Caenorhabditis elegans: one gene and its partners. The protein of the gene in region 3 interacts with the protein of the main gene of each other region in a pairwise test. Each region holds a gene or a part of one and is shown on either strand. Other genes may lie near its edges.

Region 1 (7,785 bases), on a different chromosome or scaffold from region 3:
TTTTCATCCAACTTTCTGTAAATTTTGCTGTGCCTTTTGTGTTATTTCAATTAAAAATTGCCATTGATACTTGACTTATCTGAAACAAGATACATTTTTTCTAAAAATTTGAACTTGTAAGTCTTATAAGCTCTATTAATTACCTAGTTTGAACAAAAAACGAAACTTCAGCTCACTAACTAGTGAAATCGAACTTCGAAGTAATGTTTGACAATTTTTGCTTTCCGACAATAGCAGCATTAAACTTGAAAAAAATTTAAATATTGAGAAACATTATTCGATTCATATGTAAGCAATCTGAAACAATATATATGTTTTCTAAAATATTATACTACCTTCATTTTCAACACTGTATTACCCCATTTTATACATTCAGACAATATCAGTAATCTGAAACAGTATTGTTTTCTTCTCAAGTTTGAAATCTTTAAGGTTCCATATAGAAATAGCCCCAGTATAATTTTTTTTTCAATTTCTTTTTCCCGGTATATTCAGATTACTTGTCAGATTGTTATAAAATTTCCAGACTCTAAGCCAATTTTAAAACACGCAAAATTATTTCAGCTTGGCCGAAAAAAAATTAAAAAAAACTAAATTTTCGGTTTCAACACCACATTTTATAATCCTCAAAATGCTAGAACAGTAGTGAGAAATAATAATAGAACTTCATACACTCAGAATAAAAAACTGGAATAAATCTAGCAACGTATAAATAAAATGTTGGTATTTTTAAAGACAACTTGAAACAGTGGAAAAATGTTAAAATTTTCCAAAATTTCCGTCAAATCGTCGTTCACCCAAAATTTGAAAATTTTCCAGATTTTTCAAATTGTTTTCCAATAAAAAATATTTGAATAAAAACCACAAAAACATACATACTTTCGAACATTTTTAGAACATTTGAACAGTAATTTGTCGCGTCGAGACCCGATACAGTAATTTTCGCGCAAAATTTCACGGTTGGGTAATACAAGTAGAACCTTAAATGTTCATGTTCAGCTCATTTTATAATAACTTGAAAAAACCACTACTGTTTCAAAATTAATTTGAACGATTTTTTTTTTGAAAAAAAAAACATATTTTTCTCTAATCCCTCAATAATATCTCCATTTTTTTCCGTCCCCCCAATCATCACAGATATCAGCTGAGACAGGGGAAAAGTGGTGTGAAAACACACAAGTCTCTGCGTCTAGCGGTGTGTAACACTGTCTGCGTCTCTGTGCTCTCTTTGATACTCTCTCCCGTGTGTGTGTGTGCTCCTGGAGCTCTTATACATTTCCAAGTGTTTCTGCTCTCTGCATCTCTTGCCCATTTTCCGCTTTTTTGAGCCAACAACTTCTCATTAGTTTTTTCCTTCGAGTTCTTGTGCAGAGCCACGGCTCTTTCAACAACTCGCACAAATTGAAAGTTTTCGCAATTTTTTCTTGCATTGCACGTACATATTTTCTTTTTTTTTTTCATAATTATTGATGAAAATGAATATGTTTTGTCAAGCGAATATGCTACATTGAAAGTTTTCAGAAACAGTGAAAAATCAAATTGAAATTAACAAAATCTTTCAAAATTTAATCACTTATTTGAAACAGTAAAAAATTTTTTAAAGTATACGTCGATTCTGAAAATACACTGAAAATGAAATAAAATTCTTGAAACTGTAAAAAAATTTTTAACCAATTTTTTTTCACAAATTTTTCTTTGAAAACGTTTCCTTTTTATTACCTCCTTGTCTTCCCATTCCCTTCATTAAAAATCTGAAATTTCCAGACATGATGGGCTCATCGTCGCAAGAGCTTCAAACAGCTCTAACCGACGTCTCAAAGACCTGCCATCACTTGTGGGAAGAGAATAAGGACCTCCAAGGCAGATTTGTGAATGAACTCGGCGAGCTTCAACGTCTGCAAATGGTCATTGCACAGCTGGAACAGCAACAGAGACTAGAAAATGTATTCACTGTGAAACAGCAAATGACAGAGTTACAGAAAAGAGCAGCCACACTTTATGAGCATTTGACACAGAAAAGAAATGATATTGTCATTAAACTTAATGATGGCACCAATTTTGCGACGATGCTACAGGTTGGTTCTTCTAATGTGAAAAAATATGAAAAAAACATAAAAAAAATTTTACTGTTTCAAAGTTTTGTGAAATATGAATTAAAATTTTTTACTTTACTTGACTGTCGAAGACCATTTCCATTAAAAAACTCTAATACAAGATTTACTTTTTTGAAAAATCCTTCAAATTTTGAAGAATTTTGCATGTTCAGTAAATTCATGCTAAAAATATTTTTATTCTTTTAATGTTTCAAGTGAATGTTTTGTTTAAAAAAAGCATTAAGAAATCTTTTAATATGAAATTACATCAAAAATGAACTGAAATACAAAAATTAATTAAAAATTTAATGTTTCCCATGCATTTCATATATTGAACGCGCGAAAATGTCATACTTTAAAACTGGCCTGCAATCTAGCTCTCTTATCTGAAAAAAAGTTAGTTATAATATTTACAGTTTCACACTTTTATCAAATTTAATCTTTTTTTTCCTTTTACATTGATTTTGCATAAAATTTGACAATTTTTTTTAAAGAGAAATATTTTTAAAAAAATACTGTTTCACAGTTTAATCAAATTTTCTATGCGTTGCAATATTTTAATCAATCTTCATTTCCAGACCCAACTAATTGGCGAAAAGCTGTTCTCCTGGAAAAATGCCCAAAAACTTGCCCAAATCGGAATGCCTTTCGATAATCGCGAACAGCTGCTTGATGAAATTCAAATTGAATTCGAATTTCTCGCTGATCAAAACTGGCAGCTTAACATGTTCTCGTGTTGGATGCTCGACTTGCTCCGACGTGCTCCACAGTTAAATGATGGGCTCGCTCAGGCAACAATTGGAAAGTTGACTGCAATTACAGAACAATTGAACAAATTACTTTTTATGCTGGTTTCACAGAGTTTTATTGTTTCCGTTCAACCGGAACCTGTTTTGAAGACTCAACATAAATTTGTCACTGAGGTTTGTTTTTTAATGGAAATTATACATGTCAAATTTTGGTGGGTCCCGCCGCGAAAACCACACCGTCGTGACGAGACCCAACTTAGTTAGAATTCAAGCAAATTATAAGAAACAATAAAAAAAAATTCAAAAATTTTAATTAAAACTTTACCGTTTCAAAAGTCATTCAAATAAATATGTAAGTCATACTCAACAATTTTATTTAAGAAGTTCAATTCGAATATAATGTGTGCCACGCATTTGTTCAGCTTGAAAATTTCTGGGTCCCACCACAAAAACTACAGTTCCACCCCACCTAATTTTACGGGTTACTGTAGTTTCCGCTGTGGGACGCAGCAATTTCAGAATCCTGATTTTTCAATAAAATTACAAAAAAAAACTAAAATTTCCAGGTCCGTCTTCTCATTGGCGATAAGCTGGGAATTCGTCAACACCTGGTGAACACAAATGTTTCAGTGAAAATTATAGCAGAAGATGAAGCCAAGCAGTTGAGTGTTGACTATGATGCACATAAGGAAATGTGAGTTTTTTTTAATGAAAAATTTGAAACAGTAAATTTTTGAAAAATTGAGAAAATTTTTTTTTCTAAAACTTATACTTTTTCGTATTATTTTTATATACTTTTCTTATTTTTTGTGGTTAATTTGTAGTTGTATCACTATATTCAACACTAATATTTTTCAGCCGTAACAACAAGACAGTTGGCACAATTTCCAATGATTTCGAGAAGCTCACAATGAATGAAAGAGGACACTTGGCGGCAAAATTCAATAATTCAAAATTGACAAGAATTGCACACAGAAAACCGCCCCCAAAAGGAGCATCTGACTTGAAATGTGCAGCAAGTATGCAGGCAGCTACTGATCAGAAATATGCTCTTTTATTCTTTATTACACCTTTTCAAATGGGTAATTTGAGCAAAGTAAGTTGTTGATATTTCAATTATGACTTGATTTTTTTTGAACGTAGTCAGTAACTCAAACTCAAATGCAAAATCTTTTAAAAACAACGTGAAACAGCAAAACATTTATTTTTTATTTTTTCACTGTTTCAACAAAAAGTTTAAAATTTATTTCAAAATTTGAGTCTGATAAACGAACAATGGTTGAACCAAACATTTCCAACATTTCTTTCGGTTTTCACTTTGAATTACTGAAATTTTCTAACTGGATTAGTAAAAGCAGTAATTCTATATTCAAAAAAGTGTAAAGAAACTTGAGAATTTTCACTGTTTCAGCTACTCTTAATTTTCAAAATTTAATATGTCCTCCAATTTCTATCAATTAAAATTTAACAGGAAGAACAATTCGACGTTTGGACACTTTCTCTTCCAATAATGGTTACAGTACACGGATCTCAAGACTGTGACGCGCAAGTTGCAATTCTCTGGCACCGCGCATTCGCCTCAATCAGCAGAAATCCAAATACAACTGATGTGACAGCTGTGACATGGGACAATCTAGCAATAATGCTTCGAAACAAGTTCTCCTTATTCACGGGAGCACGTCGTCCACTTTCAGATTCAGATTTGGCATATTTAAGTGAGAAAATGTTAATGCCAAATGTGGCAGATCAGAAGCCAATCACATTTCATCGATTCGCAAAACAGGCAATGAGAGATGACTTACCATTCTCATTTTGGGAATGGTTTTTCTCAATAATGCAATTAATCAAACAAAAACTGCTCAAATTCTGGGATGAGGGATGGTGCATTGGATTTATTTCAAAAAATGATGCGTCTCAAAGTATGATGATGTGTCAGCACTCTTCATTTTTATTGAGATTCTCTGACAGTCAAACTGGTGCTGTATCGATTGGTTTTGTTTGTGAAGAGGCTGATGGACAAAAGATTCCATTTCATTTGGCACCTTTTACTATTAAGGATTTGGATCAATTGTCACTGGCAAGTCGTATTGCTTCATGTCCACAATTGAAGGATATTCGGTTAGTTTTAGACGCGAAAAGTTTACCATGTTGTTAAGTATGCTTAGTTACGGTCAAAAATGGAAATGTTTAAAAAAAATTGGAAAAATGAAAAAAATTATACTGTTTCACTAAATATTTTATGTGGTTAAGAAATTGGACAAAAAATAAAAAGTTCAAAAATACTACTTTTTCATTGAAGAATCATAAATAGCCTCAATTGCAATAGTTTGATATTTCTGTAACCACGAAAGTGAATTGAATTTTCACGCGATTACTGGGACGTAAGTATCGTACCTGCCTACGTACCTGCCTACCGCCTATTTTCTGCGCCCTGGCGGGAAATTATGTGATCTATGTTCTCACCGTCCAAAAAAAAAAAAACTTCAACTGTTTCACTTAAGAATTATATAAGTTGTTCCTTCTTTTTTTAATGTTAAGAAAATACTCCTTCATCTTTTCTAATTATTATAATTTGATTAAACTCTTTTCAATCAGTGATCAATTTAAACAAAAAATGTTAAAATTAAAGTCAGAAGTGCCAAATAAAAAAAAAGGGTAAATAAAAGTTAATTTTAGGAGTGAAAACTTAACAAGATGTTAAGTTTGTTCAGTTACAGTAAAAAATAAGTGTGAAGAAAATTGAAAAAATGAAAAAAAATTATACTGTTTCACTAAATACTTTTATCATTTGGTTTGAAGTTATTGCATTCTTATTGCATTCTCTTTCATAACAACAATTTTCGGGTCTTACCACGTTTTGAAACCTTTGAATTTCAAAATTTTGCTATGAAAACTGGCACATTTAAACAAAACAAATATTTTTTATGTGGTTAAGAAATTGGAAAAATTTGAGAAAAAGTTCAAATTTTCTACTGTTTCATTGAATAATCATAAATAGCTTCAATTGCAATCGTTTGATATTTCTAATCTTTGTGAATCACCCTGAAAAATATATATAAATAATGTTCACATTTTTCACATTCACATCAGTACTAAGAAATACACCTTCTTGCCTTGTGCTTACCTACCTACCACCTATTTTCTGCGGCCCGGCTGGAAATTATGTGATTTATGATTTCACCGTTCAGGCTGAAGCACTTTTGATAATATTTCTGAACGTGGATATAAATTATGTCAGCAGTTATTTTGAACAAAATTAACAAAAATTTGAAAAAAAACTTCAACTGTTTCACTTAAGAATTATAAAAGTTGTCCCTTCTTTTGTTAATGTTGCAATTCCGAAATACTTATTACAACAAATGCATCATTATAATTTGATCTAAATCTTTTGAAACTGTGATCATTTTACAAAAATATTCAAATGAAAGTTAAAATTGCCAATTTAAATAAAATACAGGAATTTAAAAAAATTTTTTTTTTTTCTATTGTTTCACTAAATAATTTTATATGGTTTTTTTCATTGAACGATATTGAAAATGGCATCAATTGTATAATTGTTAAATACACTTTTCTCCGTACTTTTTAGGTCTCATCACCATCTCGATACTGTGATTTTTAATAATTTATTATAAGAACTGTCAGCACAGCAGTTTTGAACAAAAAGTTTCATTTCCAAATATTTCATTTTTCTACTGTTTCATTGAATAATTATTAAAAACATCAGTCCCATTTTTCTGATATATTTTTTAAAAATATTTTTTGGATCCAATTAGTAAACATCATGAAAGTACATGAAATGTTAACATGAACACTTTCTATAACTGGACACCTCCTGCCTGCCTACCTACTTGCCTACCGCCTATTTTCCGTTTTTACTCCAACTGTAATTTTTTGAATTTTCTCGTTATAGGCAAAAGTGGGTTACAAATGACACTTTTTAAAATTGGATAATAACGGTGTGAAAATAGAATGAATGCAGAAACATGCGCTCGTGAATAATAACTAACTGAAACTGGGTGGAATTTTTACTAAAATAAAATCCGGAAATTGTGAAAACTGCACGGAGTAACTCAAAAAACTAATCGTTTTTATAAAAATTCTAAGGCAAAAAAGTTAGCCTGTCTGCCTACGGTGTAATTCTTCAAGAAAGTCAAATTTTGAAATTAGTGAATTAAAAAAAAATTATGCTGTTTCAGGTTGTTGATAAATTATCGGTTAATTTCTAACATCAGTAAACATCTCACATCTGGTCGAAAGTTTGAAAATATTAGATACAATCGATGTAAGGGCTGCTATGTTGGGCCGAAAATTACTGTTTGACTATAGGCAAGCTACGCCTGACGTGTGCCTTCTACCAGGGGAAGAATGTGTTTCATTTCTTTGCCATTAAATTAATTGAAATAATAACACTTACATTTAAATTTTCGGCTTAGTTGAAACAATGGTAGGCAGCAATGTAGGCAGAACGACTTGCCTACCTACAGCTTCAACAAGGCCTTAGCGCCTACTTAGAAAGCCTGATGAATTTAAAGCAATTTATTTTGGAAAAATGCCAAAGCATGTTTCAAGTTGTTCATTTTTCAAAGTCTAATATTCAAAAATATTAGTGAATCACTCAGTTTTTTTTTGAAAAAAAAACAAGGTCTCGCAACGGTTTATAATTCTTATTTTACTTTGAAAAATAACCGCCAGCCTATTAAAAATACGAATTAAAAAAAAACGCAAAATGAAAATATTTTTCTGTTTCACTGAAAAGAGATAAGATCATGGCTTAGAATTCGGACAATGCCTCTTCAAAAAATGACAAAAAATGTTTCAAATTGTCTATTTGTAAATCATGTTTCTGAAAAATTTAAATTTTTCCAGAAGTCGCAGATTTTAGAGTCGAGACCCAATTTTTAAGGTTTGACAAAACATTGACTTGAGCTGTAATCTCTCAAAAT
Region 2 (4,282 bases), on a different chromosome or scaffold from region 3:
GATACGGTAGCTGGATCCGCTTTCGGAAGACCAACATAGACGGATGAGCTGGGTGCATTCTTTTCGGTGGATTCCGGTGCAAGGTTTCCGACAATCTCCTTTGGTTGTTGCTCAGTTGGCTGTTCATGCTTCTCATCTGACGCTGGAACCTTTACAGACTCGGGAGCAATGTCAGCAGACTTTTGAGCATCCCATGATTCAGGAGCAGTCTTGGATGGATCGATTTTCTCGCGTTCCGAAGTTGGAGCCGAGTTTGTGGGACGCGAAAAAGCCAAATAATTCCAAAAATCAGACTGAAACAAAACGGAAATTCGATGTTAAATCCTCCTAGTATTCTTACAATTTTATCTCTGAAATTCCAAACAACAATCGCAATTCCAACAGCAGCAACTGTCACAATCGCTTCTTTTCGAAAACTTCTCCTCGGAACTGCTGGTGTGATTGCTCGCGACATTTCGATTTGATTAAATTGTGAAATAATTGAAATATTTGGTTTTTCCTGACTTATTATTGTTGGATGTACGTGAAAAACTGAATTTAATTTATTTTTATTCGAAAAAAAAATTATTTATATTTAAGACTAATCAAAAAGTGGTTGCCCGTTGATTTCAATCACCCCTTCATCGCCTTCGACATTTTCGATTATTTGATGATCCACATCTTCGACATGTTCTTCTTCTAGAGTATCATCTTCGTTCACTAAGATCATTTGCTGAAATTTACGAATTTTATAAAAAACAATTTTCAAAATTCCACTCACCACATTACCCATATTATCCCAGTCATTTCCTAGATCCATTTGAAACTGATCATATTCATTTTCAGCAACTTCTCCTTCAATTTCAGCATTTTCCAATGCCATCATCTCATCGCCCTCTTCAATTATCTGCTCCTCGCCTTCATGATTTATTTCAAATTGAGGAACGAGGTGATGATGATCGATAGTTCCATCTGGTTGTTGTAATGGGACCAATTGAATTTTCGTTCCATTCTCATCGTAAATATAATAAGTTTCTCTGAGATCATATCCTTCTGGTAAGAGAACTTGAATATTTCCATGCTCATCATGAATCATTTGTGGGAAGTTGTGTTGTTCTGCTGCTTCATTTGCATCCTCATCTGGAATCATTGCTTGGGATGTAGATGGAATATCATTCGGATCTTCGGAGCTTTCAACAACGACTTCTTCATGTTGAGTTGGAATATGAAGACGTCGATGTTCGATGAACTCCGGACGATTGTCGAATTTAGAATCACAGCACGTCCAAAAGATCTCACCATTTGATACTTCTAATCTGCAAAAATATTTTTTCTAGATATTTTTCTTGTTTAAAACAAATAATTACTCAAAGGTAGGGAGACCTCCTGTCTCAACCATACAAGAAAACGAAGATTTCATATGAACTCGTTCCATGTGCTTGAACAAAAGACGAGGTCGATTCAACTTTAGTCCGCATTCTGGACATGTAACTCGTCCGGCAGTGTCTCCATCAGAAATCTCTCCAAGAATTGGCAGTCGAATTGACATTTCATCAGCCATTTCAAAATTTGTTCGTCGCCGCAATCGTTTTTGTTCTTCATCATATTGGTAAAATGTTCGACGTGATTTCAGGTATTCTGGTACATTTGCCCATGCTGTCTGAAAATGAAAAAATTAATCGAAAATGTTGAATTTAAATCTAACTTACATAATTATGAACATCGTTTTTATGGAGATTCAACTCTGACATACTGTGAGAGATATGACCGCAGAACTTGCAAATATATTTTTTTCGTCGGGTGTGATGCGATGTAACGTGGGCTCTTAGCTTCCCATCATCAGGAAATACTAATGAGCATAATTCACACGTCAGATTCTGAACCTCGTGAGCTCCTAATCGATCAATAAGCTGTAATCGAAGCTCGTCATTCTTTTTGTGTGCTCTTTGATGAGATTCCATGGCTGTTGGATGTGCTATGTTGACGAGCATATTACAGATTGTACAAGCTTCATATTGTTCTCCTCCTACAGTCGGCTGATCTTAAAATGTACATTTTATTATATATTTATTTATTTTTTTCTAATTTTACTTACTTCCAGCAAGAACAGCTTTTACAAGTTGATGTGCTCTTGCTTCGTGTCTCATTTTATCCATTGTTAGTCGATCGCGAGATCGGAGCCGTTCGAACTGAAATCTTTATTTTGTTTTAAAAAAAGTTACAATTTTCTAAATTTAAAATACCTCTCTTTTCTTCCATTCTCCACAAATTGTATTAATATCTAGCATGATATCGTCTAAATTCTGCAGGTGACACTCTCTTCCATGCTTTTCAAGTCCTGATGCAGTCAAAAAAATTTTCTCCTCACAAAATCGGCATGGATAAGATTCGACATCGTTAGCGATTCCTGGCAATTTCTTCGGTTTGAAGTTGGATGGGTGATTCTGAATATTAATAATTTTTCCTACAATAATTTAATACTTAAATTAAATAACAAATCTACCTCATTTACAGTCAATACTCCTGATTGTACTTCATATCCTTCTCGTTTAACTTTTTCACCTTCGTCGTCTCGAACATCTATAATGATTTGAATTATGACTTCTGCGACTAAAAACAATATTTTTATACCTTTCCGCGTATGTTTAAGCGCTACATTTTTTCGTATGATTCTTGGCGGTTTTCGTGGTCCTCCACCTATAATTGCAGCCATCTAAAAACAAAAAAGTTTACTAAATTGTAGAAAGTTAGAGGAATTAAAACTAAAAAATACATGGCAAAACCGATAAAAATTCAATAAATAAAATTTAATGTAAGTGCGCTCCATTGGATGCAAGCGAGAGAACGGAGACGCAGCGTTGGAGTCGACTTTGTGGGAAGGGCCACTAGACGAGTAAATTGGACCAAAAAGTATTAAAAATAATCGTATATTTTTTGTTCGGTAAGCAAAACTGTACGTACTCTTCATGTCTTCAGCTCTGAATTCCAATTTTGATGTAAATTATGAAAATAACAACAAATCCAAGACAATTGCGAGATCTACAGTACTCCTTTAAATCTAGTTGGTCGTTTCGAGACCGGGTACCGTATTTTTTCGTAAATTGCCAGGTAATTAGTGAAGAACGGAAATTTAAATTAATTTTTTTTATTAATTAAAGTTTACATTGTAATAGTCATTTTGTTAGATATGAACTGTTCTCAATTCTTCATTATTACACTAGTGTCTCAAATATGCTGACTATAAAAAAGAGCATTCTCAAATCACGTAAGACCAACAGAATCACACCTTAATATTAGCAAGGATGATAAATGTGGCAAGACGCGTCTCTAGTTTCCTCGATTTTCTCCCAATTCCAAGCAATTGTCATCATTTTGGCAACCTTTCTCGTACATTTTTAATGCCGCCTTACTTCGAAAAAAAAACACGATGAGAATGACAAACAAATTGAATGAAGGAGACAGTATAAAAGAGAATGTTTGAATTGGTCTTTCATCATTCGACTCCAAACACACTATGGTCCACTATAAACTTTCATATTTTCCAATTCGATTTGCTGGAGAAATTCCACGACAGATTCTGGCATATGCCGGGCAAAAGTTTGAGGATCACCGGATTCCACAGGCTGATTGGCCAGCTCTCAAGTCGAGTGAGTTTTTGAAACTTTTTTTTTCAAAATACTATTTATTCGTGATTAAAATGTTGTGCCGCTCTAACCGCTGTGGGCGTGGCGAGATCCACTTGATAAAATCTTGATTAGACCTGACACCAATATTCTGGGTCTTATTATAAATCATTGATTTTTGTTCACAAAAACTGACCTGAAAGCAATCTCAGAACTACCTTTTTTGGTTCAAAGTTCCCGTATAAATCTAACTTTTTTGTAGGGACCTATTTAGAAGGTGCTCTTTGAAATGAAATATGTATAGTTCCAAAATCGAGATATATGTTAAAGTATCTTCCATGTAATAGAATAACAAATACGATCACTTTTAATTGCGAGGCTGGCGGGATATTTGTGTACAGGTTTTTCTAATTTAATTTTTTTATGTCTAAAAATGTTGTATTGAATTTTCTATATTTCCAGCTATGCCGTTCGGAACTCTTCCTGTCCTTTATCAGGATGGGAAACCACTTGGACAATCCCATGCAATTTCTCGTTTTCTTGCTCGCCAATTTGGAATAAATGGAAGATGTCCATGGGAAGAAGCTCAAGTGAATGCAATTGCAGATCAATTCAAAGATTATCTCAATGACATCCGATCTTATAATCTCGTGAAAATGGGATTTGCACAAGGAGATGCC
Region 3 (5,431 bases):
ATCCGAAATTGTGACATCGGATTTTGGCACAAACAAGACTTTTCTGCTACCGTACTCGTAGGTATTGTGTCAATATCTTCCGTTTTCGGTAAGTTTAGTGTTTTTTGTGTAGAAGAAAACTACAAGACACATATGATAGTTCACCGTGCGGAAAATGTAGCTTCAAAAATTCATTTGTGCCAAGTTCAAAAACATGCAAAAAAAAAAGTGCCACGTGGAAATCTTTTCAGATACTTCTCCCGGCAGCCGGTGCCAAACTACTCGAGGTTCTGATTGCCTCTCTTGCTAACTCACACAACAGAACCGGAGAGCTGTTTCTTGTCAGGTACGATTCGCTCAAGAATAGTATTTAACCTCTGGGATGTGAAAACTCTATAATGGTTGTTTTCATTTTCAGAAGTTTCGATTTCCTATTTGCCGGATGCATTCTCTTCTACTACTCGACGCGTCAAAATGGGAAGGGCTTGACTAAAACGGACTGTTGGATGATTGTAAGATGGCCTAAAATGTAGAAAAATCGGTCGTGGGTGTTTGGGAGTGGCTGAGTTTTCTTCTGCGGCGTAATGCTAGTTTATTGCAGGCTCCCCTTGCGATCGCAGTGTCAATAGCCTGGCTTGAACCTGGACAAATGGAATATACGGGAGTTTCTTTGATGTCCGCATTTCTGCTCCCAATTTCAAGAGCCCTCTCGTTCATTTTACTAAAAAACTCGATGGATTGTTTAGGAAAAGGTTTAAAAATATTTTTCTCTTTATCAAACTAAGAGTTTTCTAGGTCATATCAATGCTTTTATGCTGGAATACACTCGATTTGTTACTATTCTACTCTTCCTACCGGCTCTTGTTTCGTATTTATTGAGCAGTGTGGAGGTCACTGCAAGCTGGGAGTCTATCGATTATGTGAGTTCTGGGTGAAAGAGATTGTGAGGGAATTGCTAAATATCAAACCAGCATATGACACAATTAAACTTGTAATATTATAACTGTTCGGTAGTTACATTTCTGAAAGTTATGTTTGGACATCGAAAAGATAATCTTTTCGAAAGATTGCTTTTTGTCAGTGAACTATCTTTTATACAATAGAAATACATACAACATTTTTTGGTTGTTTCCAGGTGCTTATGTCTCTCTCCTTCATATTCATGATCTGCAATCTCTACAGTCATCTCTGGCTTACCTTATCCCTATCACCTAGTGTCTACTTGGTTTTAGAAAACTCCAGAAACCTATTGGCATCGGTAGTTATTTTGATTAAAATCCGAATTTTGTATGAATTTTGATTTTTACAGTGTGCTCAATGGATTATTCAAAATATGGCTCACCCGAGCCTAATTGCATTTGGCGGCAAAATTGTCGGGTTTGCAGCAATTTTCAGAATCTGGACAAGATCTTAATTAAATTGTTTTTGTTTTCGAAAAAGAGACCTGTTTGTCTAATAAGATGCGTTTCTCAAAAAAAAAAGTTCACCACAAGCACAATTGGGCTATTTTCAATTGAGACAATAAATTGGGGAAAAAAGCAACAAATTTAGGTCTGCTACGAATCAAAAGCTTGTCACGTAGAAATAATTTTAAATGTTCCAACCAGTTTTATTCTAAACACATCACCAGGTCTGGGTAATCATTTCAATGTAAAAATGCAAGTACGCTCTACCGAATCGATATTATTATACTCTTCTTGTAAACGCTAGAATATGTGCAAGGACAAATGATGGTATTTATTGACTAGAAATATCGCCTGGAGATATCTCATTTGAATAATTTTCTATTATCGATTTCTTTTCACACTTTTTTACTAAAATTTAGAGAAGTAAAGATTAGGAAACTACCACGTAGCTTTACTATATTGAAAAATTGCCATGTCATTTACATTTCAAGGACTTCATTGCAGATTCAAACACAAACTTGGGAATTGTCACCTGGCGACCCACTCCGAATTTCAATTTCAAACTATTCTCTGTAAATATTTGTTTTTCTCAAGATCTAATTCTACCGTAACCTACACTTACAGTAATCCATTTTCAGCTTAAACCTCTATTTCTCTCTCAAAAAATGTACACAGTTGCTCGTGAACAACCGCTTGCCGCTGTGCTCTCTCCACAATTCTCGGAATTGTACTGTGCCACGTGTTTTCTGGAAATCGACAGCTCACAAGAAACGGAAATTCTGACATGCGACGATTGTTTAGCGGTATCATATTGTACATTGAAATGTCAACGAAAAGATTGGAAAAGTTGTCATCAGGTACTGTTTGGGTGATACTTTGAAAAAAAACATTAAAATTGGAAAAAAAAATCCCTTGGGAAAATTTAGAAGAAATTTTCAAAAATCCACTTGGCAAAATTTCAAATAATTTAAGAAATTATAAAAATCCGATGCATATTTCCAATGTTTTGCAGTTCGAATGTGAAATCCTGCGTTGCCAAGGCTCCTCAACTCCAATGACACTGACCATGAAGCTATGCATCAGAGTCTTATTGGCATCTCGTTCCACACAGACGCCAAGTTTCAATGGGGCTGTTTTAGAAGATTTGGAGACAAGTAAGATATATTACCTGAAATAGGACTGATCTTGACACACATACCGATATTTTCAGATTACAAAGAATTTCGATCAAGTCCAGAGCATAATCAATTTTTATCAGATGTTTTAACGATTATCAGCAGTTCAGGGCAGAGTGAGTTGAAAAGTTTTAGTTATTTTTGTTTCACTGTAGTTTTTAGAGGAGCATATTAGTTTGCGTGGTCCCAATTTAAATACTTTCAGTAATAAAATTCACGACCACGTAAAAACTTTGCACCTTTTCTCTTGCAAATAGTTCGATTTTTGAGCCAAACTACTGACTTTGGGTTCTGACGCGAAGGAACAAGTTTTTCCAGCTATCGTAACCAAAAGTAGAGTGATGTAGCTGTAGCTAAAATAAGTCGTTTTTGGTAGAACCCTTTTTTTTTTAATTTTTGCCACTTTTTTCAGACATTTTCCCAACATCTTTGGAGACAAACAAAACTATCGGAATAATCTGTAGTGTTTTGTGCAATTCGTTCAGCATTATCAATGAGAAACGTGTTGAGCCGATTGGAAGTGGCCTATATGTGGGCGTTGCCAAGCATAATCATTCGTGTGCTTCCACGTCACATGTTGTCTTTGAAGGAAATCAAGTTTTTCTGAGAACCAATCAAGAGGAATATTCAAAGGAGGTTATGATTTTTATTGATGTATCTTTTCCAAATGGGATTTCAAAATCAAAAAGCAATTGCTCGGAACTTTTATCACCCCAGATTGAAATTTCCGGGTGAATTGCACCAATCAGGCCTGCCGGTGTTTCGGTTCTTTTTACAAACCTAAAACGACAAATTTTATTTTTTCGGTTTTTAGATTTTTCTGTTTTACTAAAAAAAACCAAAAATTGACAACAAAATGTTTGGCGGCACCCATGCAAAAAATTATTTCAACGGCATTACTAAACGCAATACTCTGCAGCTGACAATATCGTACGTTTCCCGAATGCTTCCAACATCCGAACGTCGGAAAACAATCCGCGGAGTCCATTTTCTGACGTGTCAGTGTGAAATGTGCAAAAATGAAGAACTGGATCTAATCGGGTTAAGCTCAAAATGTCGAACAAAAAATTGCACGGGATTTGTGAAGGGATCTGGAAACTGTTCAGTTTGTGAGAAATTAGCGTTTTTGCCCTTTGAACAGGTTAGTTATTAGGATCGACTGTCGATTAAACGTTTTTGGTTAACTGCCGAAAAGTTTTGGAAAATTGCCAAAAAGCCTTTGACAACCTGCCAAAAAGTTTTGGAAACATGCCAAAAAGTTTTGGAAAACTGTAAAAAAGTTTTGGTAAATTGCCAAAAAGCCTTTGACAACCTGCCAAAAAGTTGTGGAAACCTGCCAAAAGTTTTGGTAAGTTGCCAAAAGTTTTGGTAAATTGCCAAAAAGTTTTGGAAACCTGCCAAAAGATTTGGTAAGTTGCGAAAATGTTTTCGTTAGTTGCCAAAAGTTTTGGTAAATGGCAAAAAAATTTCGAAAACGACAAAAAGTTTTGGTAAAATCCCAAAAACTTTTGGGTACCAGTTATGGTAAATTGAGTACTCCTTTTTTTTGAAAAACATGAATTTTTTCAAATTGCAGAGCATCCATTCAACATTAAATCTTTTGGATATTATTGAAAATCTCCATAAAACAAATCAATTCACAACAGTACAAGAATTGGCTTACCTTCAAAAACTACGTGCTGACTATCAAGACATCCTGGCGGAATGCAACGTGGCAATTTTGCAACTCGACGAGCAGATTGCTTATTGTAGCAGTTCACTGGAAAATGTGAATGACTTGGATTTGGACTTGATCGCTGGAAGAGGCAGTGAGCATTTTATGTAAGTTTATCTTAATATCCTAGCTCAGTTGATGTAGAAAAAGTATACGTAAATAACATTTAAGACGAATCTGATTCTAGTTTTCTGAAGAATTTTTTTTTCTAAAATCATGAAAATACGAACATTTTCCACAAAATTGAAACATTTTATTTCTGGAAAAAACCGAAATATTGAAAGATCTAATTTTTGAGTTTCTAGAAAATTTATAATTTCCGGAAACGGGAATAGATGAATTTAAAGCATTACTTAATATATTTTCAGAACTCGTCTTGGGATCGGCGCTCCAGAAGTGACCCGTCGTTTGTATATTGGATGTAAATGTATATCTCGTATTTCACCATCGAAAAGATCTGTAAAATTAGTAAAACTAATCAAACTTGCCATCGAATCAAGCATTATTAGCCATGGAACACATCATTCAATCACTAATTATTTGAGAAATCTTTGATAATGTTCTTGTAAAATCACATTTATTTTTAATCCTCTGATAAATAGTTTAATTTAATTAACATAAGCATACAATATATATATCACAATTCAAATAGTTCCATAAGAAATCAGCTGACTAGAATCAAAGAAAATGGCTCGAACGGGCGGCACGATTTGTGCGTTCCGCTGTTGATCGGTTCCTTCGACAAACAATTGTGATCCTTTGATGAGCCCGTTGTTCGCTGTGTCAATTAACTCGTTTATCATTCCAACCACTTGTTTGTTCGAGTTTTGGATGTTCGAGCGGCTGGAAATAAAACTAATTTACGAAAAAAATTAGGGCACGCACATTTTATTTTAAGTTCTCTAAAATATCTTGCCACGTGGACGGCTATAAAAAGTTTTGCACATGAACTTCCAGGTTCTTTAAGTGGTTTTTTGTATTACGAATATCGTATATTCTTTATCAGTGCTGCATACAGTGGAATTTATTGGATGCAGATGCCGCACTAATAGAAAATATACGGTAAATTCCCAATGCTCTGGTAAAACAAGTCCGTTTTGTTGCCGGAGAAAGTGTCACGTAATCGAAAATAGTTATTTTGTTGTTGAATATAGTGT
Region 4 (4,599 bases), 9.3 Mb from region 3:
TACTATGCGGTAAACAGGTAAATAGTTAACTGAATAGCGTGATCTATTCTACTACTGTTTAGGTATTCATCGCCTATTCCAACACGACAGATGGTTGCCACCTTGACTGGTCACGCAAGGGTCCCTCTGTCCCAGTGAGTTGTATACACCAATCTTCACACTCAAAAAATCAACAAAATGCGCGAATTTGCGCAGTAATTTGATCCGTCTCTTCCGTGCTTCTCCCCCTTTTTATGCTTCCTGGTCAACACGTTTTGATTTTTTTCTTTTCTTTTTTTCCGTCTTTGTCTCATTTCATTTCATCATCATTGCCCTTTCTCCTCCCCCTTCCCTTTTTTGTATAATATTCACTTTTTGTCCTTTGCTTAAAAGTCGTGGGGCAAGAGCAAAAAGTACAATGACCCGGAATAAAGGTATCAAATTGGTGAATAATTCAAAAGGAGCAGAAAAGAGAAAAGGGGAAAAGGTTGGAATTCTGAATAATATGCAAAATGGAAATCCTACATACATATAGAAACATACATCAAAATGTTGAATAAAAGAACAAACAATGTGTCAAGTCATGCGTGTAAATTCTCTCTTTACTGGACTTTTGTAGCTTTAAGGTATTAAGACAGTTGGAGGGGCTCATTGTGCAATACATTTTTGAATGAGATCATTTGGAATGAATTAGGTTTTCTTGTGAAAATCCACCCCCGTGTAATTTTCGAAATTGTTGTTTAGAAAAAAAACCATGAGACTACACTGCACTCAATTAGTATCTCGGTTGTTGTTTGTTCTATCGAAAAGGTTGTGTATTTTTATTATTTTTGATATATTCAAAACAAACTGAGATAAAATCCTTCAAAGTGAGACGAGATACTTATAAACCATTTTTCAGTTATAAAAATGTTCAAAAACTCACTTTTAGACATTGAGCGTGAAATTCCAGATTGGGATTGACCCTGAGGAAGTACCGATCTGATATTTCTGAAAATAAATAATTTTTTGGAATTTAGTCCCCGAAAGAGCTTACCCAATCGACAGCCGGCACAAACTGCCATCGGTGGTTGGTGCTGACGTTCTGAAAAATGAAAGCTCGATTAACTTTACTCTAACCCAAATTACCCGTCGACTTTGATTTGAAGATTACAGGGTTTGTGAGAGGAGGGGAGCTCAAGCTTTATTTAGGGAAAAGTAATAGAAAGAGGGGAGGGCCACGCGCACAAATGGATAATGATACCCAGTTAGGTGTCATGAAGGGGTTCATGGCTTCAAGAAAAAAGTGAAGAAAGGCAGGGAGAGCCTAACAAAACTCATAAAATAGCTCATTTGTGGGGTGTTTGGGGATGTTAGTAGCTGCCAAAACGTTTTTTATTTTATTTTTGCCCTCTTCTGTCAGCACTGTTTTGCCACGTCATTAATTTTATTGAGCTCCGTTTTTATTCGGAAGAATTTAAAGTCGACAGCTTCCTACTGTTTAAAAAATAACATATTAAAATGTTCTAATTTTAAAACTATAACAACTAAAGGTAGTCATTTCAAACTATTGATAATCCCCTTGTTCAACATTTGACATCTTATTTTAGGAAGTAAACTGGCCGTTGACAAACAAGAAGTAACAATCCCAAAAAAAGAAGGAAAGTTTACTTAATATAAGCAATTATAAACACCCCACCACTACAGTAATCATAATCGGAGCGGCGGCAAATAACTACTTATTTGGGAGGAGAGTGTTGCGATTTGAAATTAGAATTGAAAATTGACCTAGAGAAAAACTTTTTTTGAAGAAAATTAGGTTTTAAAAACTTTCGGAATACAAAACTGTGAAAAGTTAATTTTTATTAATATCATATATTTATTTGAAAACTTTCTAGGTTAAGTTTTCGAGGCCAAGAAAATCGAGAAAATCTGGTTGGGTTGTTGAAATCTTCAAACCGGATATGTACATGTGATGTGCATAAGGCGATTATAGCTTAGATCTTCATCGAAGGACCAGATGAAGTTATGCGTTTTTAAGACAACAAGAAGAAGGTGGAAAAGAAAAAAGTAAAAGAGGAGGGGGACAAATGGAATGAAAGAAATAGCGATTTTTGTTTTCTTTTAAACTTTCAGAACTTGATTGAACTAAGAGCTTTTTGATGGAGCCTCCCATTTGTTCCCCACCCCCATCATATCGTTTAATCAACAAAATATATTTTTGTGTGAGACCCCCCGATTCTTTTGTTTGCCAAACTGGTGAATAAGCAAGGTGTCATGGAAAAATGTGTAGCTCAAATGGGTTTTTTCTACCAAGAAATTTAGTAATGTTATATGACTTCAAAATTTTTTGGAAGTGAGCCCATTAAGTTCAGACACCTTTCGGAACTTTGCTCATTTATTCATTGGCTCATCCCTATAAGTAGTATGGGAAAAGAATCGGAAGAGCACCAGAGCTTCAGATAAAAAAGTTGCAAAATTCAGGGGAAAATAGACGGATATTTAAGGCTTAGAAGTGCGAATAATCTTTTTTTCCAGATTTTCTCCCTCTCCTTCTTTCGATTTTGTTATTGCAGGGATTTTGACATTTTAAGATTTATTTTTCAAGATTAAGTGGAGTTTGAGAGAAGGTGTTGTATTCTTAGATCTGTTAGATGTCTTTTCAAATGGAAATTTTATGAATCTAACTTAACTTTTGTTTTGAATTTTTTAAGCTGTGATTTTCAGAAAATTTACAAAAAAATTTTTTCCGGATGTAAATTCTTTGAAATATTTTGGCCCACGCTTAACATTTTCAAATTAAAAAAAAAACACTCACGTTCAACAGGAGAATCAAGGCACAAGTACTTGGTATCCGGTTCGTCTTTCCAAAATGATCCACCAATTTCGAGATCCGATGTTCCTGGAGATGTCAGTGAGAATTGCTCATAACCATTTCGCATACAGATGTTCATGCCGTTGAACAGATATAGAAGTTTGTGATTGATTACTAGATACACACAAACACAGATAGGACAGTTGGAAGTGTCACAAACGAAAAGAGAACCGAGAGCCCTGGGACCCACGGAGAGACAAGAAAGTGGGCGGAGTCATTGAGCGGGCGGACGACGAGCGACTGGTTGGTAGACTCCACCTACTAAGTGAGGAGAACGAAAGAAGTGAGAAGAAAACCAGCCGGATGTGAACACCCAAGTGATAGAATAAGAGTGTGAACATCCTGATTTTGTGGATATGGTAACCTATATTTCTTTTATTTGTAATTAATTGGATTAAAGCAGTTTTGTGTGAACTATTTGGATCATGAAAAAGTTTAAAAAATGACATTTCAAATGCCAAAAAAATTTTTGAGACAGTTAAATGTTACTGGCAAAATATATTCTATGAAATTACTCATCAAGATTGAAGTAATGAGCAAAAAATTATATTTAAACATTTAGAAAATTTCGAAATTTTTGAACAAAATTGTCTGCTCCTGAAAAAATTAAGAATTAAGGAAAGTAATGTGAGAAATTTGACCTCACTTTAGTTTCACAATTAAAGTTTCAAAATTAAATTACAAATCGCTTAGGACGTTTAAATTTCATAACCCTAGATTTTAGAGTTCAAAATCCATCCTATATTTTAGTCAAATTTTCTCGTACATTTTCAAATGTTTTTCTAGTTTCCTTTAGCTTCCATACTAATATCTCCGCGTACTACAGTTTAAGACAATAAACTCACAAAGTGTAGAACATCTTCAGAGTCTATAAATTATTCATGTAACTTTTCCAAAAAATGGCTGCAATACTGAAAAAATGTGGTATGTTTGCTTCGATCTTTAACACAATCATTTTTCTGATATTTAAATCAGAAACTGACTGGTTCTCTCAGAGGTTTAAAGTATTATGTTCATTGATGAATATTTTAAAAAATTGAGAAAAAAAATTGAAATCAGAAAACATGAGAATTCAACAAGATTATCCCTGGAAATATCTTCTTATCCGGATTCAACCTGACCCTCATTCTTCCTTTGGCTGGTGGACGCCATATTTTCCTTATTGAAAACTATCTAGAAACTAGAAATATGTTTTATTTTATTTTATTTTTGAGTCTCTCTTAGAGTTCATATCGATTGAAATATAGACTTGAAGTCCCAATTAGTCTTGCGTCCCTAATAGTATTGCACTTCTTCGTTAGTATTGCAAACTCTTCATTCTTTTAGTCAAAAAAATTGTACGAAAAGTGAATTTGCAGTTTCTATAGAGTTGCACTCTTAAATTAGCCGACACGTGGACATATGTATGTTTTAACTGATTCCCCCACTTCCTGTATACCTCAAAAGGTGTGAAATAACGAATGAAAAGATGAACATGCATGCGAGAGAAGGTGATAACGGACAAGTATTCGAGGATACTGTAGATTCCATCGATTGATAAGGATTTGAAAGATAAGATGATTAAATGGATGCTGGATTAATCCAGAATATTGGAAAATTTTTAGAACCGGGGAGAAATGTGAAAAATTTACAGCCATTTTTCAACTATTGTGGTGTAAGAGAAAACAAACTTTACAAGTTATATTTCATAGTTTATCGTATTCCATTTAAAAAAATATTTTTCCAAAACACGAAGAAATAGAAAGACCGAAATACAAAATTTTGTA

What was found.
Region 1: the proteins of set-10 (region 3) and sta-1 interact in a two-hybrid assay, tested with the Caenorhabditis elegans proteins (one large-scale study listed by BioGRID).
Region 2: the proteins of set-10 (region 3) and ZK546.5 interact in a two-hybrid assay, tested with the Caenorhabditis elegans proteins (one large-scale study listed by BioGRID).
Region 4: the proteins of set-10 (region 3) and lim-7 interact in a two-hybrid assay, tested with the Caenorhabditis elegans proteins (one large-scale study listed by BioGRID).

The regions. Positions count from the first base shown.
Region 1 is NC_003282.8:16,662,556-16,670,340, forward strand, and holds the start of sta-1 (Signal transducer and activator of transcription 1), read left to right. Parts: upstream 1-1,764; 5' UTR 1,765-1,766; coding exon 1,767-2,075; intron 2,076-2,171; exon of another isoform or gene 2,172-2,192; intron 2,193-2,447; exon of another isoform or gene 2,448-2,468; intron 2,469-2,551; exon of another isoform or gene 2,552-2,572; intron 2,573-2,654; exon of another isoform or gene 2,655-2,671; coding exon 2,672-3,016; intron 3,017-3,029; exon of another isoform or gene 3,030-3,050; intron 3,051-3,212; exon of another isoform or gene 3,213-3,233; intron 3,234-3,408; coding exon 3,409-3,536; intron 3,537-3,659; exon of another isoform or gene 3,660-3,680; intron 3,681-3,700; coding exon 3,701-3,938; intron 3,939-3,966; exon of another isoform or gene 3,967-3,987; intron 3,988-4,106; exon of another isoform or gene 4,107-4,127; intron 4,128-4,313; coding exon 4,314-4,960; coding exon of another isoform or gene 4,961-4,997; intron 4,998-5,107; exon of another isoform or gene 5,108-5,128; intron 5,129-5,173; exon of another isoform or gene 5,174-5,194; intron 5,195-5,375; exon of another isoform or gene 5,376-5,396; intron 5,397-5,433; exon of another isoform or gene 5,434-5,454; intron 5,455-5,649; exon of another isoform or gene 5,650-5,671; intron 5,672-5,859; and 14 more. UniProt on the Caenorhabditis elegans protein: Carries out a dual function: signal transduction and activation of transcription. Activated STAT proteins play a role in repression of dauer formation.
Region 2 is NC_003280.10:4,934,228-4,938,509, reverse strand, and holds ZK546.5 (C2H2-type domain-containing protein), read right to left. Parts: upstream 2,693-4,282; coding exon 2,611-2,692; intron 2,560-2,610; coding exon 2,483-2,559; intron 2,424-2,482; coding exon 2,223-2,423; intron 2,169-2,222; coding exon 2,075-2,168; intron 2,021-2,074; coding exon 1,689-2,020; intron 1,640-1,688; coding exon 1,347-1,639; intron 1,296-1,346; coding exon 761-1,295; intron 713-760; coding exon 581-712; 3' UTR 536-580; downstream 1-535. Other genes in the region: ZK546.4 (Energy transducer TonB), read right to left, coding at 1-293, 341-454; gst-30 (glutathione transferase), read left to right, coding at 3,494-3,626, 4,065-4,282.
Region 3 is NC_003279.8:15,027,170-15,032,600, reverse strand, and holds set-10 (MYND-type domain-containing protein), read left to right. Parts: upstream 1-1,892; 5' UTR 1,893-1,957; intron 1,958-2,023; 5' UTR 2,024-2,050; coding exon 2,051-2,242; intron 2,243-2,397; coding exon 2,398-2,539; intron 2,540-2,595; coding exon 2,596-2,676; intron 2,677-2,972; coding exon 2,973-3,196; intron 3,197-3,479; coding exon 3,480-3,701; intron 3,702-4,136; coding exon 4,137-4,381; intron 4,382-4,642; coding exon 4,643-4,829; 3' UTR 4,830-4,884; downstream 4,885-5,431. Other genes in the region: F33H2.8 (TPT domain-containing protein), read left to right, coding at 231-325, 398-491, 581-731, 775-899, 1,115-1,237, 1,289-1,393; F33H2.2 (Protein FAM91A1), read right to left, coding at 4,919-5,117.
Region 4 is NC_003279.8:5,714,989-5,719,587, reverse strand, and holds the start of lim-7 (LIM/homeobox protein lim-7), read right to left. Parts: upstream 3,015-4,599; 5' UTR 2,913-3,014; coding exon 2,777-2,912; intron 1,064-2,776; coding exon 1,016-1,063; intron 970-1,015; coding exon 905-969; intron 216-904; exon of another isoform or gene 66-215; intron 1-65. UniProt on the Caenorhabditis elegans protein: Probable DNA-binding transcriptional activator.